2 linked regions of the Caenorhabditis elegans genome follow. The protein of the gene in region 1 binds, or shares a complex with, the protein of each later gene. Each region holds a gene or a part of one and is shown on either strand. Other genes may lie near its edges.

What was found. Proteins that work in one complex are often made in the same cells at the same time.
Region 2: ncbp-2 (region 1) and ncbp-1 share a complex: the UniProt entries of both Caenorhabditis elegans proteins name them as parts of the nuclear cap-binding complex.

The regions. Positions count from the first base shown.
Region 1 is NC_003279.8:7,640,524-7,646,817, reverse strand, and holds ncbp-2 (Nuclear cap-binding protein subunit 2), read left to right. Parts: upstream 1-3,489; 5' UTR 3,490-3,576; coding exon 3,577-3,645; intron 3,646-3,738; coding exon 3,739-3,920; intron 3,921-4,014; coding exon 4,015-4,223; intron 4,224-4,326; coding exon 4,327-4,343; 3' UTR 4,344-4,361; downstream 4,362-6,294. Other genes in the region: rrf-1 (RNA-directed RNA polymerase), read left to right, coding at 1-13, 64-175, 223-680, 736-937, 983-1,254, 1,300-1,479, 1,532-1,667, 1,720-2,246 and 3 more; F26A3.1 (Lipid droplet-associated hydrolase), read left to right, coding at 5,051-5,201, 5,252-5,434, 5,603-5,838, 5,884-5,991, 6,039-6,222, 6,269-6,294. UniProt on the Caenorhabditis elegans protein: Component of the cap-binding complex (CBC), which binds co-transcriptionally to the 5' cap of pre-mRNAs and is involved in various processes such as pre-mRNA splicing and RNA-mediated gene silencing (RNAi).
Region 2 is NC_003279.8:6,418,186-6,427,323, reverse strand, and holds ncbp-1 (Nuclear cap-binding protein subunit 1), read right to left. Parts: upstream 5,267-9,138; 5' UTR 5,219-5,266; coding exon 5,194-5,218; intron 5,138-5,193; coding exon 5,043-5,137; intron 4,998-5,042; coding exon 4,482-4,997; intron 4,433-4,481; coding exon 4,163-4,432; intron 4,052-4,162; coding exon 3,829-4,051; intron 3,736-3,828; coding exon 3,618-3,735; intron 3,575-3,617; coding exon 3,496-3,574; intron 3,446-3,495; coding exon 3,292-3,445; intron 3,249-3,291; coding exon 3,044-3,248; intron 2,728-3,043; coding exon 2,527-2,727; intron 2,480-2,526; coding exon 2,338-2,479; intron 2,293-2,337; coding exon 2,170-2,292; intron 2,122-2,169; coding exon 1,990-2,121; intron 1,885-1,989; coding exon 1,771-1,884; 3' UTR 1,532-1,770; downstream 1-1,531. Other genes in the region: lron-6 (eLRR (extracellular Leucine-Rich Repeat) ONly), read left to right, coding at 3-152, 194-487, 630-769, 816-952, 1,296-1,531; rbx-2 (RING-box protein 2), read left to right, coding at 5,475-5,524, 5,579-5,703, 6,312-6,475; R10A10.1 (uncharacterized protein), read right to left, coding at 8,484-8,759. UniProt on the Caenorhabditis elegans protein: Component of the cap-binding complex (CBC), which binds cotranscriptionally to the 5'-cap of pre-mRNAs and is involved in various processes such as pre-mRNA splicing and RNA-mediated gene silencing (RNAi).

The DNA of each region.
Region 1 (6,294 bases):
AAACAAATTAAAGGTTTGTCTGAAACATGAAATAATGAAACTTTTTATTTGGAACTCTTTCAGGAGTTTCCACGTCGTATTGATATTGATAACTTGAGAACAATGTGGGGATTTACATTGTCTAGTGAGCCATTCTTCCGTTCCCTAATCAAGGCATCCATCAAGTTCTCAATCAGTGAGTTTTCCGAATTGTTTTCAATTTCTCAATTTTATTATTTTCAGCGAAACAGCTTTGCAAAGAGCAAATTCAAATTCCCAGTGAACTTGGTCGATCTATGCTCGGAGTAGTTGATGAAACTGGACGTTTACAATACGGACAAATCTTCGTTCAATACACGAAAAATTACAAGAAAAAACTTCCACCGCGAGATTCCAACAATAAAGTTCATGGAAGTGAGATTGTCACAGGAACCGTTTTGCTCACTAAAAACCCTTGTATTGTCCCCGGAGATGTTCGGATTTTCGAGGCTGTCGATATTCCAGAACTTCATCACATGTGTGATGTAGTAGTATTCCCACAACATGGACCGAGGCCTCATCCTGATGAAATGGCTGGATCCGATTTGGATGGAGATGAATATTCTGTTATTTGGGATCAGGAATTACTTCTTGAAAGAAATGAAGAACCTTTCGATTTTGCTGTTGAAAAGATTAAAGTACCATATGATAGAGAGAAGCTTGTTAGTTTTTTTTTGTTCATTTTTTTTTTAAACTTTGGTGTAATATCAAATTTAGGACGTCTTGATGCGTGAGTTTTATGTCACATATCTGAAATTAGACTCCGTTGGACAAATCTCGAACAGTCATCTTCACAATTCTGACCAATATGGGCTGAATTCGAGAGTTTGTATGGATTTGGCAAAGAAGAATTGCCAAGCTGTTGATTTCACAAAGTCTGGACAACCACCAGATCCATTGGAAACGAAATGGAGGGCCGGTACGTATGCGTATTCATGAATATGGTGTAACTACCTATTTTCAGATCCCGTAACATTCGAAGTTATCCCTCCTGAAAATCCTGAGCGAATTCCTGACTTTCATATGGGAAATGAACGAAGTCCGATGTATGTCAGTCCAAGGCTTTGTGGAAAACTATTCCGAGAGTTTCAAGCAATTGACAATGTTATCAAGATCTCTGAAGAAAGGGATGAACAATATAATATTGAACTGGATGAGACTATCTTTGTTACTGGTTTTGAGAGATATATGGAAAGTGCTCAAAAACAATTATCCAGTTACAACGGACAACTCAGGGTTAGTTTGAAGGCTGAGTAAAGTTTAAATACCCAAATTTTACAGTCTATTATGGAAAACTACGGTATCCGGTCGGAAGGTGAAATCATGTCAGGATGCATTGTCGAAATGAGAAATCGAATTTCGGATAAAGACCAAGATGATATGTCATTCTACAACACTAATCAAATGATTGAAACAAAAATGACATCTTTAGTGTGCAAATTCAGAGAAACGTTCTTCGAGGTACAGTTTATTTCAATATTTATTTATTTTTTAATTTCTATGCCATTATCAGGAATTTGGTGGATTCACAGTAAAATGTACACTTTTACCAAATGCTTACGATAACGGCAACTGTCTCAATTACCGTTGCGAAGATCCAGATCAGGAGGTCAGAAAGAAAGCTGTTGCCTGGTATCGAGCTTGTTACGGTAATTCAATTTTTTTGTTTCAATTTTTTGAACTATTGTAATTTCTTTGTAGAGTGTGCTCAATCCACGAGAGAAGTTCGGAAGCTTTCATTTGCTTGGATTGCATATGACGTCATTGCCAAAGTCAAGGAGACTAATGTATTGAATAACGAAAGAATGCAGATTGGTGGAGCAAATCCCATGTACACTTTCCTAGAAGAGCATCGAAAACAATATTTGATTGATCACGATGCGGATTTCAAGAACTTCTGTGAACTCGATCATCTAATTACCGGTGAAAAATCAAAAGAAGCGATTTCCATTCTGAAAATATATCTGGAGATGATACCAGGGTTGGACTCTGTGTTCTTCATGTTAATGCGATGGGGAGAATCATTACGATTGTTTGATGGAAAACCAATCAAGATTTATCACTTTTTCCTCATGTTCATTCTTTTTGCAACACGACAATTGGCATCTGCTGATGGAAATGCAGAACCGTTTTTCAAAATAATTGAAAAAGAAGAATATGAGAAACAGAAAAGAGATTCATCGAGAGGCAATATCGATCCACTTACTGAAAAAAAAAGATCAGATATGGTAAGGAATAAGGGGGTCATCGAACATCGTCGATTTTTCGATTTCTTCGAAAAAGTATGAAAAAAGAAGAGAAACCTTTGAATTTTGTCTATAAACATCTATATTTTGATAACAAAAATAAAAAATTCATTGAAATATATAGAGAAATTATAGGAAATTGTAGAAAAGTTGAAATTTTACCGAATATAAAACAAAAAAAACTTGAATTTTCGATTCATCAAAGTTGACATAAGTCCATTCAGCTGTATGATTTGTAGTCCAACATTGGCGAGAAATTCAAAGCCGAATTGTGTATTTTTTTCAGATGGTCAAATTCTTCCAATTTATGGGATGTCGGAAGTTCAGAAAAATGTCGACTTTATCCTTTTGTCCTCTCAACTTCTCATCGATTTTTATGCGTGGAGAATGGCGAATATTCCATGAATCAGCTCTCAAAACCTACTACAATATTCTGTTTAATCTACGTTTTGAAGAGCTTCCAGTATCATCTGATCCAACAATTACAGCTGAGACGATGGATCGAGAGTGTGAACCATTTGTTATCGAGTTACCCGGTATGTAAAATCTTTTGGAAATAAAAAAAATTGAGTTTTTTTTCATTTAGAAAATATAAATGTGAATGATCTGATCAATAATATGAAGAAACACACAAATGTTTCAACTGTAAAGATGCGGCGACAGGAGAAAAATCCGATAAACGATAAGGCGAAACCAAAGACTACAGGTAATTAAAAACTCTTCATATTGGTAGCATAAAATAATTGTTTTCAGTTCGTTACATCGTCTCCGTCTCCGGAACTCTCGAATCAATTCAAATGCTCAAAAAGCTTTCAGCAGTTACAATTCCAATCAAAAGTCATTGGGAAGGAGAAGAAGTATCACAACAGATGGCATCTCTTTGCTATCAAAAAGTTATGAATGGTGAATTTTAATCTCGTATTTTTGTTGAAATATGCCATAGACTCTGTTAATGTTTTTTCTTCACTTACATTTTCAAACCTTGTACTATTTTTTCTGTTTTATTTATTTTTAATTCCTTCTACCATTTGTATTTGTGTGTAAACTGACCAATTCCATCATCAAATGATTGATTAATAATTTTAAAATATTTTCTCCGTGGTATAAAACATTTATTTATTTTAGATTTTCGTTTCGTAATCGATATTCCCAATGTTATTTCGTTATCCAATATCTGCTAAATGAGGGTTGATAAAATCCAAATTCAAATAACCTCGGGTTTCAGTTAAACAACACGCGCTACGACACTCCGTTCTCTTTTCGAATTTTGTTCGCTGAAGAGTGTGTCTGTTTCTTCGTTCTTTCTTTTAAAATGGTCTTCGATCCAAGAACATTGGATAATCCTAAGGAAATTAGTGCTTACAGAGATCAAAGATACCAGGTAAGCCTTTTGTTTTAACAACTTTTCGGGTTTTTATCGAATAAAAGGTGTTGTTGCACAATACGAATTCAAATTTGTAGTTCTCAATTTCAGGGAACCGTTCGAGACCAGGAGACTGCTCTACGCACATCATGTACACTTTATGTTGGAAATTTATCATATTACACTAAAGAAGACCAAGTCTATGAGCTGTTTGGAAGAGCCGGTGACGTCAGAAGAGTGATCATGGGATTGGATAGATTCAAGAAAACTCCTTGCGGATTCTGCTTTGTCGAGTGAGTTTTTTCCGCGATTTTCATTGCTTCTCTGGACTTTTAACCCGAACAAATAAAATTTAATTAATTTTTATTTTTATTTATTGATTTCCAGATACTACACAAGAGAAGACGCTGAGCTGGCTCTTCAGAACATCTCAAACACTCGTATGGATGATCGTGTAATTCGTGCTGATTGGGATGCTGGATTCATTGAAGGACGTCAATATGGAAGAGGAAAACACGGTGGACAAGTTCGTGATGAGTATCGAAAGGATTATGATCCAGAAAGAGGAGGCTACAATCGCGCTATTGCTCAAAAAGGTTAGCAGAATAAAAAAAAATGGAAAAATCGTTTTAAGTTGTTTCAAATTGGTTTTTTTATTCGTGTGACTATTAAGAAAAATGAATCTTCTACATTTTTCAGGCGGTGACCGTCAATAATCGTTTCCAAATCCATCCAACACGATCCTCAATCATCATTCTTCAAACAAAAAAAATCACAAAATCTGAAAATTATTACCGTATATTCTCTATTAGTGCTGCATCTCCAGTAGTACTGCAGTCTCTAATAGTGCTGCACTCAAAAAGGGTCCGAAAATTAGTGCTGCAGTCTCTATTAGTGCTGCACCCCATTTTCTACTGAAAGAGTCACTCAATACATAGTTTTGACATTCTGGGGAGTGTTTTGTATATTTTTGAAGATTTCTAGTTAACTTACAAACATAATTGAGTTATTAGGTCATTTTTGTTACAAAATTTCACAATTTTAATGGATTTCTGCTTAAAAGGTGAGCATTTGTGACTAAAAACTAGTGATCTCCAATTGAAAATAGCCGTTCGAAAATTAGTGCTGCAGCCTCCAGTAATACTGCAGTCTCTAATAGTGCTGCACTCAAAAAGGGCCTGGAAATTAGTGCTGCATGCAGCACTAATAGAGAATATACGGTATCTCTGTTTCCATCTTGTTTTAACGTTTTATTTATTTTTCTGTTTGTGTTTTCTTCTCCAAACTTGAGATAAAGCCATCTTCCTCCATCGATTTTTTACAGATGTTTAAAAATAATTATTGAGGCAGGTGAAAATTTCCCAACACAATATCATTCTTTCTAACCGCATTTTTCCAGTTTTTCTTATTTATTTACATATAGATGACCTCAATTCTTCGAAAAGTGGAATGGGTTCGAGTAGCAGGGAAATGGACGAAAATGTCCGTCATGGGGTTGGATATTTCAGACGAAACGCTGAAAATTCAGAAGAAAAAGGAGAACGAGAATCGAGTGATTATTTTAATGATTCCAGGTAAATCGGGAAATTGCGCTTTTAAAAATTTAAGAAAATTTTAATTTCAGGAAATCCCGGAAACGAAGGATTCTACGCTCATTTCGGACGAGAAGTTTTGCAAAATTTGATAAAGAAAGATGAAGATGAGCAGAAAAACTTGAAAAATCAATATTTATTCTACACAGTTTCAAGTCTCAATCATGTTCGAATGCCAGATCATTTGAAAGATGATGGAGAACATCGAAATCATGGTAATAAATACAAATAAAACGAAGAACCGTTCACTCCAGCCTTTTAACTTATTTAGTTTCGCCGATTTCGCAGTATTTTTCGCCCTTTTGTTTTTTTTTCAAATACCTAACGAGACTCATGGATCCGGTGCGGAGCGCGTTTTTACGTCGATTATAATATATTTCCAGACCGAATTTCTCTGGAGGAACAAGTCAATCACAAACTATCATTTGTGAAAGAGCACCTGCCACGTGGAAAGCAACTGTACATTTTGGGGCATAGCATTGGTTCGTATATGATGTTAAGAATCATTCCTGAAGTGATAAAAGAAGGATTCCACGTGGAAAAAGCTGTTGGACTGTTTCCAACGATAGTTCATATGGCAAACTCACCAAATGGGAAACGATTACATGGAACTTTAGCTGTAAATTCAATTTCTTTATTTTAATTTTTAATTGTAAACTTTCAGACATTGAACCATCATGATTGGCTCACAAAAACGATTTGCTGGTGGGTGGATTACCTGCCAAACTCGATCAAAAAATTTCTTGTTGGATTGAACCTGAGACATCCTAATGTAAATTTTTTTTTGAATGTCAAGCAACAAAAAACATAATTTTTCAGACTCCCCCAGAGATCGTCGATGCGGCAGTTGAGCTTGTCCATATGGATGTGTTCAGAAATATAGTTCACATGTCAAACGATGAACTTGATATCGTTTTAGACCTAGATGAGCGTCTTTTGGAAAAACAAGACGTGGTTCATTTCTATTATGGCCTCAAGGATGGATGGTGTCCAGTGCAGCATGGTATTGACCTTGAAAACGTTGTGTAGATTGAAAATAAAATTTATAGGATACTCCATGCGGGACAGACTTGGT
Region 2 (9,138 bases), 1.2 Mb from region 1:
AGATAACATCATTTGCATCTCACACTTTCAGTAAATGCATTGATCTCCGTGTACTTGATCTGACAGGGAATCCAATTAAAATGCTCCCTTACAAGCCATTTGCAAAGAATATAAAATTGAAATGGCTCAAGTTAAGCAGAACCAATATTACTGTAAGTTTTCCGAGAATATCCCCACAAAAAAACATTTTCAGACGCTAACACCTGATCATTTCTATGGTTTGAATGCTCTGAAAACTCTTTCACTTTCCCGAATGCCAATTCAATCGATATCTCCCTATTCATTTGTTCCATTGAAATCTCTTCGTTATCTTGATATGGACTCGTGTAATCTTACAAAAATACCTCAAGCAGTTACTGCAAACTGTCATTTGGCACGTTTGAATGTGGCAAATAATATGTTACATAGAAGTTCTTCTATGCCTCCCGAAGTGATGGCTATGTTGAGTGGTCTGTCACAACTAAGAATTGAAGGAAATCCATTGACGGTTTGTTTTGCTCGGGGGTTTATAGCTCAAATAATATCCAAAAATATTAATCATGAAAATGCACATCTCTTATTTACGGGGTTCCCTAGCCTTTGTGAGGTTGAATTCATGCGATTTTTCTGATTAATTCTCGTTTTCACAGGAATTCCCAGCCTCATTTTTACTCATCTCTCGTGAAAACTTCCGTCTCCTTCGTCAACTTCTCCACTCAACAATGACTCTTCCCGTTTGGCTCCGCGAGCCATGTACTCCATACTATTGGTCAATGCACCTAGCAAATCGGTAACATAACCAAATTAGGATTGAATCCTAAAAAAACTTTTTTGAGAACCAATAATCTAAAGTCATTTGTAAATCAATATAGTGAGATGAGAATGTTAAAAAGCGGACTGGGTTACTGTAAGGAGCAATATGACTGGATGTTGGAACAAATGGAAGTTTATAGAGAATTAGAGAAGAATTCCGGTGAGAATCTTTTATTTTATGTCCAACCTCATTTTTTTAATTGAAATTTTCGAATTTCGACCCAAAAAACTGGCACGAGAGAAATCGTTCAGCTACAGTAATCCTTTATTTTTTTCAAATTTCTCTTTATAGTTGACATGGTTTTGATAATTTCGTAAATAAATGCAACTTTTCAACAAAAAATATTGAAAATTTAGAGATAGACGATAACAATTTTCGAAATATGGTAGGATACGGTAGCTGAATAGTTTCGTTCGTGCCAGGACCTAACGTCATGAATGCGTCTACATTTCAATTCAAAAAAAAACCACTATGTAATACGTGGATTCATAATATTTTTCAGGATGCTATTCTCTTCGACGTCTTCGTTCTTCTTTATCTTCAAAACCTGTCCCAAAAATTTCGAAAAACTCTACGAATTCTCTAATTCTCTCAATTCCTCATGATCTATCATCCCCCGCCTTTCATATTCCAATTCTTTTATTAATATCTTTATGTGCAAACTTTTTGTTACTTTTTTCGATTCTTATGTGTTCTATCATGGCGTGTCGAATGGAAAAAGGTGTGGATAGTGTTTGAACGGATCGATTAATTTTATTAAATAGAATAAATAAATGACCTGGTAAAACATGTAATGAAACACAACAAGAAACAAACGGAGATTGGGAGTTTAATATTGATAAAATAAACATGGTTCCGGGGACTTAAAGTCCATATTTATGATGAACCCGGACTGGGATCGTAGAGATTTTGAAGAGATTGGTTGAGAAAAATAACAGGAAATTTGAAATTGGACAAGATTAAAGTATATGACTCATTTAAAGACGAAGAGACTGGAATTGGTTGAAGCATTCAATAATGCTAGGATCGGTTCCTTCAGAGAAAACTTCATCAGCGATGTTACTCGAGTGCTTCAACAGTGTTTCCGCGTGCTGAAAAATATTTCATATAAAAATATATCAAAAACGGAGACCATTCTTTAATGTTTCACATTTTTAAGATTGTTCTAGCCGACTCGAAACGAGTATAAAACTTACAGCTAGCAAAACGTGACAGAATCTTCCACGGAGCCACATGAATTTAGGTGTTTGAGTTCCTGGTGTATCCCCAGAACCATCCATCTCGGATGTGTTGGACGTGGCCGCGTTTTTTATTTCTTCAATGAATGCCTAAAATTGAAATATTTACTAGAGATAATACATCTTGAAGCAACTTACTATTAAGAAATCATTGAAAAGACCCTTTTGGAAAGTGACCATTCTTTCTAATTTCTCTTTATTGTTCTCCAAATCTTCGAGATCTTGTTTGAATTTTTCTTCTTTGGTTTCATCTTCATCCATCTATAAAAAAGGGATCTTATTATATAATTCTCTCTAAATAAATACCTTAATATCAGACTCTTCATCATCCTCCTCTTTGATCTTATTCTCTGTTTTCTCAGTCAGCTCTTTTATGTCTTTTTCGACAACATTAATCTGTCGTGTGAGCTTTTCCAATGCTTGATTGAGCACTTCGAACAACCATTGTCTGAATATTTTCGGTTAGAGAAAGTTTTGGAGTATGTGAAAGTGTACCTGTCATGTTCTTGCCACATTTTCTCGTCGAATAGCCAACCAACAACGGCTGAACAATCGATTACTTGCATTTTAAGAAGCTTATCAGTAAGGATCATCAACATCTGTTGATTCGTTTTCCAGCACGAATAAAGTGTTTCCAGTAGCTTCTCTTGATAAAGTTCTGATGCGTCACAGACAGTTTTCAGAGTGGTTTGGTATCTGAAATGAATAAAAACTTTGTTGATTTTTAGGATTACATTCGAAACAGGGACGGTAATCGAAAATTATCGAGATCAAAAAATTTGAAAAAAACTTGAAAATTCGCAACAACGAATTACTACTGTAGTACTGTATTTTCTCTAATAATATTGCACCCCCACTACTTTGAAAGGTTATAACTCTCTTCGTTTCGAAAATATCAACAAATAATTAAATAAAGACGATACAAAATTAATTTTTAAAAAAGTGTGCAGTTAACAATTTTTGAGTATACACAATATTATAACTATCAATTCGTATTATCTAAATAACTAACCTGAATAGAGCTGAGAAGTTGTGTGAATAAGTCTTCGATGCCATTTTGAGCATAACCATTACGAAAAGACCGAATTCATTAATGTTATATGGCAATTCGTCATTTTCATCATTTGATTTAAGCTCATTGAGGAATGCTTCAGCTGGCTGACGTTCTTGGAACATTTGAGTGAATGTTTCCGCTCGTTGAACTAGTGCAGTGTCTTCTGAAATTACAAGTTTTGATTTTTCCAAAAAGTAGTTATTTACCTTCATCAATGAGATATCGAACTTCTGGAGAGCATGGATGAATCTTGACAAAATCTTGGGGCAATGCAGCGATAATTTTCTCATAAGATCCAAAACGACGACACTTTTCTATGACTTCTCGTACAAAGATTTGACTGCCGGAAAATGCATCTTTCTGCAAATATTACCGTGCAATGTTATGAACAATAGAAAATAAAAACATACATTCAAACAATCCTTCCAATCTGTCCAGGTGTATCGATATTGGAAATTAGAAAGATGGAAACTGAACCAATCAACCATTCTGTAAAATAAAATTGAAATATGAAATTTGAAATATAATTTACCTGTCAATACAAACTGGTTGCATTGAATCTGCGCGCCGATAGATACACTCAACAGTTTGAACAAGAATCTGTGGATAGTCGTCTGGTTTAAGCTTTAGCAGTTCGAGAACGAGAGAGCCTGAAAGAAAATATAATTTAGTTATTTGGATTCTACATTAAACCCCCGCTAAATCGAGGTTTAATGGACTTTTAATGAAGAATGTTGACTTACAATGAAATATTGCTGGATATGGGGCATGTGGTAGACGGAGCATTTGACCGAAAATAGTTTCGAAAATAAGGAATCCAATAGGAACAGATGGATTCTCTTCTGCGAAAGCGAGAAGTTCACGAGCACATGCTTTTCTATTAAATTGATTTTTTTCAATGATCCAAGCGATTTCACCTTCGAAGAGGAAACGATCTATTGAACTATCACCGGGAAGGGGTTTACTCTGAAAATTATAATAGACCCTTTGAAATAATTTTCAGTAAATAAAAAAGATATTTCCTTGCTTAAAAAGACAAATGAACGAACAGTTTAGACAGTTTCAATTTGCACTTACAGAAAAGGCGGAACAATCCGCGTCTTGAAACAGACGGAAAACGACCAGTGGATATGGATAAATCATATCCGAGGTATGTTCTGGAGATTGAAAACTTGGCAAATTATGTTGGAGGGCATCTTGAAGGGTGGTTTCAAAACCAGAATAATGTCGAGGAATGTGATTTTCAACCCAATCCGCATTACGAAGAGCTTCAATCTGAGCTGATAAACTTTCGAGATAATCTTCTTGTTTTTGATCTGTCGAGCCTTCCCGCCAAACTTGGAGAAGCTAAAAATATATTATTTTTAGTTATTAACAAGTTTAATATTAATCTTACCGCAACGTGATTTTTATTTCTCAACTCGAGATACTTTCCAATCGCTTCTCCAATATTCTCCATTTGCTCGGGAGCTTTTTCAGTCAATTCTTTACCAATCCATGGAAGACAACGAAGAACTGTTTGGATATAATAATCATTACGAACTTGAGGCATGTTTTCCTCAAAAGCAGCTGCAATGAAGCTCTCCAAATATTCTCCAATTGATTGAGCTGTGAGCACTCCAGAATTTCCAAGATCACAAAGGAAAATAGCAAGATTTTGAGCCTCTTGATATTTTTGTTTTGAAAGAAGATCTTGCTGCTCAGAAATTAATTTTTCTACGACGTCTCCTCCGAAATTGAAATTCTTTGAATTCAACAGACCAACTAGAGTTGTGTATACAGTAACACGATTTGGGAGATAGATGGCACATCCAGCAATAATATCAATAATTGAAGCCCGATATTTTTCGAGATCATCATGTAAAAAAGCTGTGAGTTTATCCAAATTGCATTCGATCGATGAGCCAGTATTCTATAACAACATATTTTGGTTGGAAATTGATGTTTTATGTCTTACCTCTCCAACTTTTCCGATGACTCCCTGCAGTTTTTTTTCTACATCTTCGATTAGTGGAGCCCCGCGACGTCTTTTCATTTGAACTTCATCCTCATCTGAAAATCATTTAATTTTTTTAAACAAGATTTAAACAATGCAGGAAGTAGCTTACCATCGAATTGCCTTCTCCGCGACATTTTCGTTGTTTTTCGAACAAAATCTGATTAAATCTCACTGGTTTTGCTTGAGAAATCGCAAAAAAATCCGATGGAAAATTCGAAATTGAATATATTCTAAACAAGGCGCGCGTGTGGAACAGCGCAGTGTCGTAGGTTACTGTCTGACATCTCTGCGCCTCTTCTTCTCAACGCCACTTCTGTTTATGCAGCAAAAAACAAAACCGGTCTTAAATTGCCAATAATTTCAATAAATCAATAAATTATTGCAAAAAAAATGAACAATTCAAGCAATGCAGATTCACAAGAAGGAAGTACGAGTGCTCAGTAAGTCAATTATTTCCATTTCAATTAAATTCTCGAAATATAAATTACTTTCAGAAAGCAAAAAACCGCGAATCCGTCTGAAAGTCGTCCTTTTGTGCTCAAAAAATGGAATGCGTTAGCTGTTTGGGCCTGGGATGTTGAATGTGACACATGTGCAATCTGCAGAGTACATTTAATGGGTAAATTTTATTTAATTCAGTGGTTAAAAAGTTGAATCGCTTCAAAAATATAACAAAACTTATTTTTTTGATATTTTGTGAGATAAAAATGTCGCAGATAATTTTATGATGGTTTTTGGTTTAAAAAAATTTTCAGTTTTTTCTCTAAAAAAACACAATTCTACAGAAATCTTCCATAATATTTCTCTACCCCTAAATATCATTACAAACTTACGAAAAAAAATATTTTGGAGCATTTCTAGAGGTCTTGAAAAAAGTGGAAAAATGCACTGAAAAAGTTCAGATCGACTTTTTACTAGTTCGAAGTGCTCATATGCAGCTAAATTTTTTTAGTGATATGTTCAAAAAGTATTCTTTTGAAAGATATATTTGTATTTAAAAGTTCAGGAACAAGCAAAAGTGCTTGCTTTGAAAGTAAAAAACACGCAAATTTTCGTGAACAGAATAGGTAATATACAACTATGTCGAAATTGAAATATATTGTCCTTTTTTTTTAGCTTGCAAATATATATTTAAAATCAACATTTTTTAAAAATATGCATAGGGAGCAGGAGATCCACACTACCAGAATGAGATTTAATCCAATAATTATGAACAACTTTTTTCAGAAGAGTGTCTTCGTTGTCAATCTGAACCAAGTGCTGAATGCTACGTAGTGTGGGGAGACTGTAATCATTCATTCCATCATTGTTGCATGACTCAGTGGATTCGACAGAACAACAGATGCCCACTGTGTCAAAAGGATTGGGTCGTCAGCCGCACGAGCAAATAATGTATCAATTATCTACTTTTACACGTTCTTTCCCAATTTACATGTAATTTTTCGACTCTTTTTCAAAAGAACTTTTGTCTGTAAATTGTCTCTTCACCCACTTCTTCCCTCTCCATTTTTCACCCCGTTCTCCACTTTGTTCCCATTCACAAAAATAATGACTGTAAATAAAAATTCACACACACACAGACGACATATACACGAATATGAACACAAAGAAGCAGAGCAATAGAAAAAATGATTCTGAAAATTTCAAAGAAAAACAAAAGACGCCAGCCGTGACATGGTCGATTGTCTGGCGGACTATACGAACAGATACTTCTAGATTTTACTGAAACTGAGATAGATATATTTAAGAATGAGTTCAGGTGAGAACATTTACAGTTTGAATATTTTATAGAAAATTATCCGAGTTTCCAGAGTTTTTCCACCGTCAAGGAGTCTTCAAACGTGTCCGTTCAGTGATAATTCGACCAAGTCAAAGTCCATCCACTTCAGTGACACGTGGAAATCTGACAAGAAGTTTCAGTGCTCGTGGAGATGCAGAAAAACGAAATAGAGCAATACTTCGAAGACAAGATGCAATTGATGATGATGATCAAGAGTGAGTCTGAAGAGTTCAGCAATGATATTATTTGATTTAATTGTCCCTTGGGTCTCACCGCGCTCCCTTCATAAAACAGTTATTTTGTGTGCGAGTCTGTAAGATTACTGTAGACATATGAGTAATTGTCTTCTACAACACAAGTGACTATAGTATTAAATGTTTTGCAAAAAAAAGTTGAAAAAATCGATCAAAATTTCCTACAGTAACTTCAAAGGGCGCGTGCAGAAATCTTTGTTCATACATGCAGCGCGCGTGGCGAGACCTTTTTAAACGAATGCGGCTCCTTGAAATCAATCGGCGAAGCAACCATATACAGTGTACAAAAGAGGGTTGAAAAAGTGATGTTTCTCATTTCTGTACCCAAAATCTTGAAATTTTAGTGCGTTTTGCCAACATTGGGCCTAACTTCTTCAAAAAAACGTTACTTTTTTATCTACTCCATGAGAAATTGAGAAGCAACATTTGGACTGAAAAGTTCGTGATTCCTAAAATTGATATTTTGTGAAAATAAACATTTTTAAATGCTTTTGTTCTTTGAAATTTCCAATACGTTACTTCTCTATTGTTTTATTGTTCTCATTGACCTGTTTAATAAACTACAAAGAATATAATAATGTTAGATATAAACGAAAACAATAAAATCTTCCTCATTCCCATTTCAATTGAACCATTTGTTTGAGTTCTGACTCATTTCCACCTTTTTTCCTCGATCACCATTCACAGAAAATTTAACCTCTTGGGAACTTGAATAGATTATCATCTGCCAAAAAAAGCCTCAATATATGGGAGCGGCATATCTCAAAGATTTTGTTAATTGGAATATTCTTGAATTTATCTACAATTGGCATTTTTGAAAGTATATTGGACTTGAAATTTTTTTTTGGAAGTTTTGTCTGAAGTGTCTCTATTTCGGATAGAATTTTGTGACGTTTTAAAAAAATAAAAAGTAATATCGAGTTTTTACAAAAAATCTTTATCAATTAGTCTATTCTAAAACCCTGAGCCAATATGAGCAGAAACTGGAGCATTTTTCACTAATTTCATACGAGTTTAAGTAGGTTCAATTACAAATATAACATCCATTAAGTAAAGTTTATACCTCACGAGAAGCCGAAAAGAGAACGTTAAATTTTTCCAAATGGTAAAATATTTAATTGGATCCCTTTTATGAAATCTTCACCCCGTCAACCACTACGCTACTTTTTTCAACAATTAAACTACATAATTTCGTATCATTCGTCATTTTTCCAAGTATCACACGATTCCGTTTATTAACTATGCACTAACCATAAAATTTCCCAATTTCCTCTTTTTTCGCCCTTTAACCATCATCGCAACACGAGACTCGTGAAGTTTAAAATTATTCGGAAATTGATAAAAAAATACATAGAGTTGATTATGCTATCTATGCAGTTGTAGAGACTTAGAGGTTCTATTGAATAACTGAAAAAAGTGAATGATAAGAAAATCAGAAAATTCTGATAAAATGCTGTAGCCTGAGTTAGAGAAGAACATGAACAAATCACGGTTTCCGAAAAAAAGTGAGATTTGTAGTTGAGTTGTGAAGAAATAGGAAAAGTCAAGTAATGATAAGATGAATTGTGGGAAAAAGCTTTGAAGTTTTATTTTTTTATCTTTTTTTTTTTTAAATTTAAACTTTAAATTAGTTTCATTCATTATTTCTAATATTTAATAGCAAAAGTTTAATTTTAAATTCAAAATTTTCGGTATCTGAAGACAACTATAGACCTGATTGAACTGAGTCAACTATTAATTGTTTCAACTTTTCAATTAAAAGTCCTAAAACCACATAAACTACCGTATCAGCTAGCATTTCGAAATTTCCTTAGATTTTCTCGGTTGGCTTGATTTTTTTCAGAATATATGTTTTGGAAATTTATCAGAAATATTCCAAGAGAAACAGAAAAAAGTAATTATTAGATGAGATGATGAAGTTCTACAGATCAGTTTTGTTCGTGTTATGGTCGGATACAATTAGGTGTTAACAATATTACTCATTAAAACTCGAGATTAATGGAACATGTTTTATTGTTTG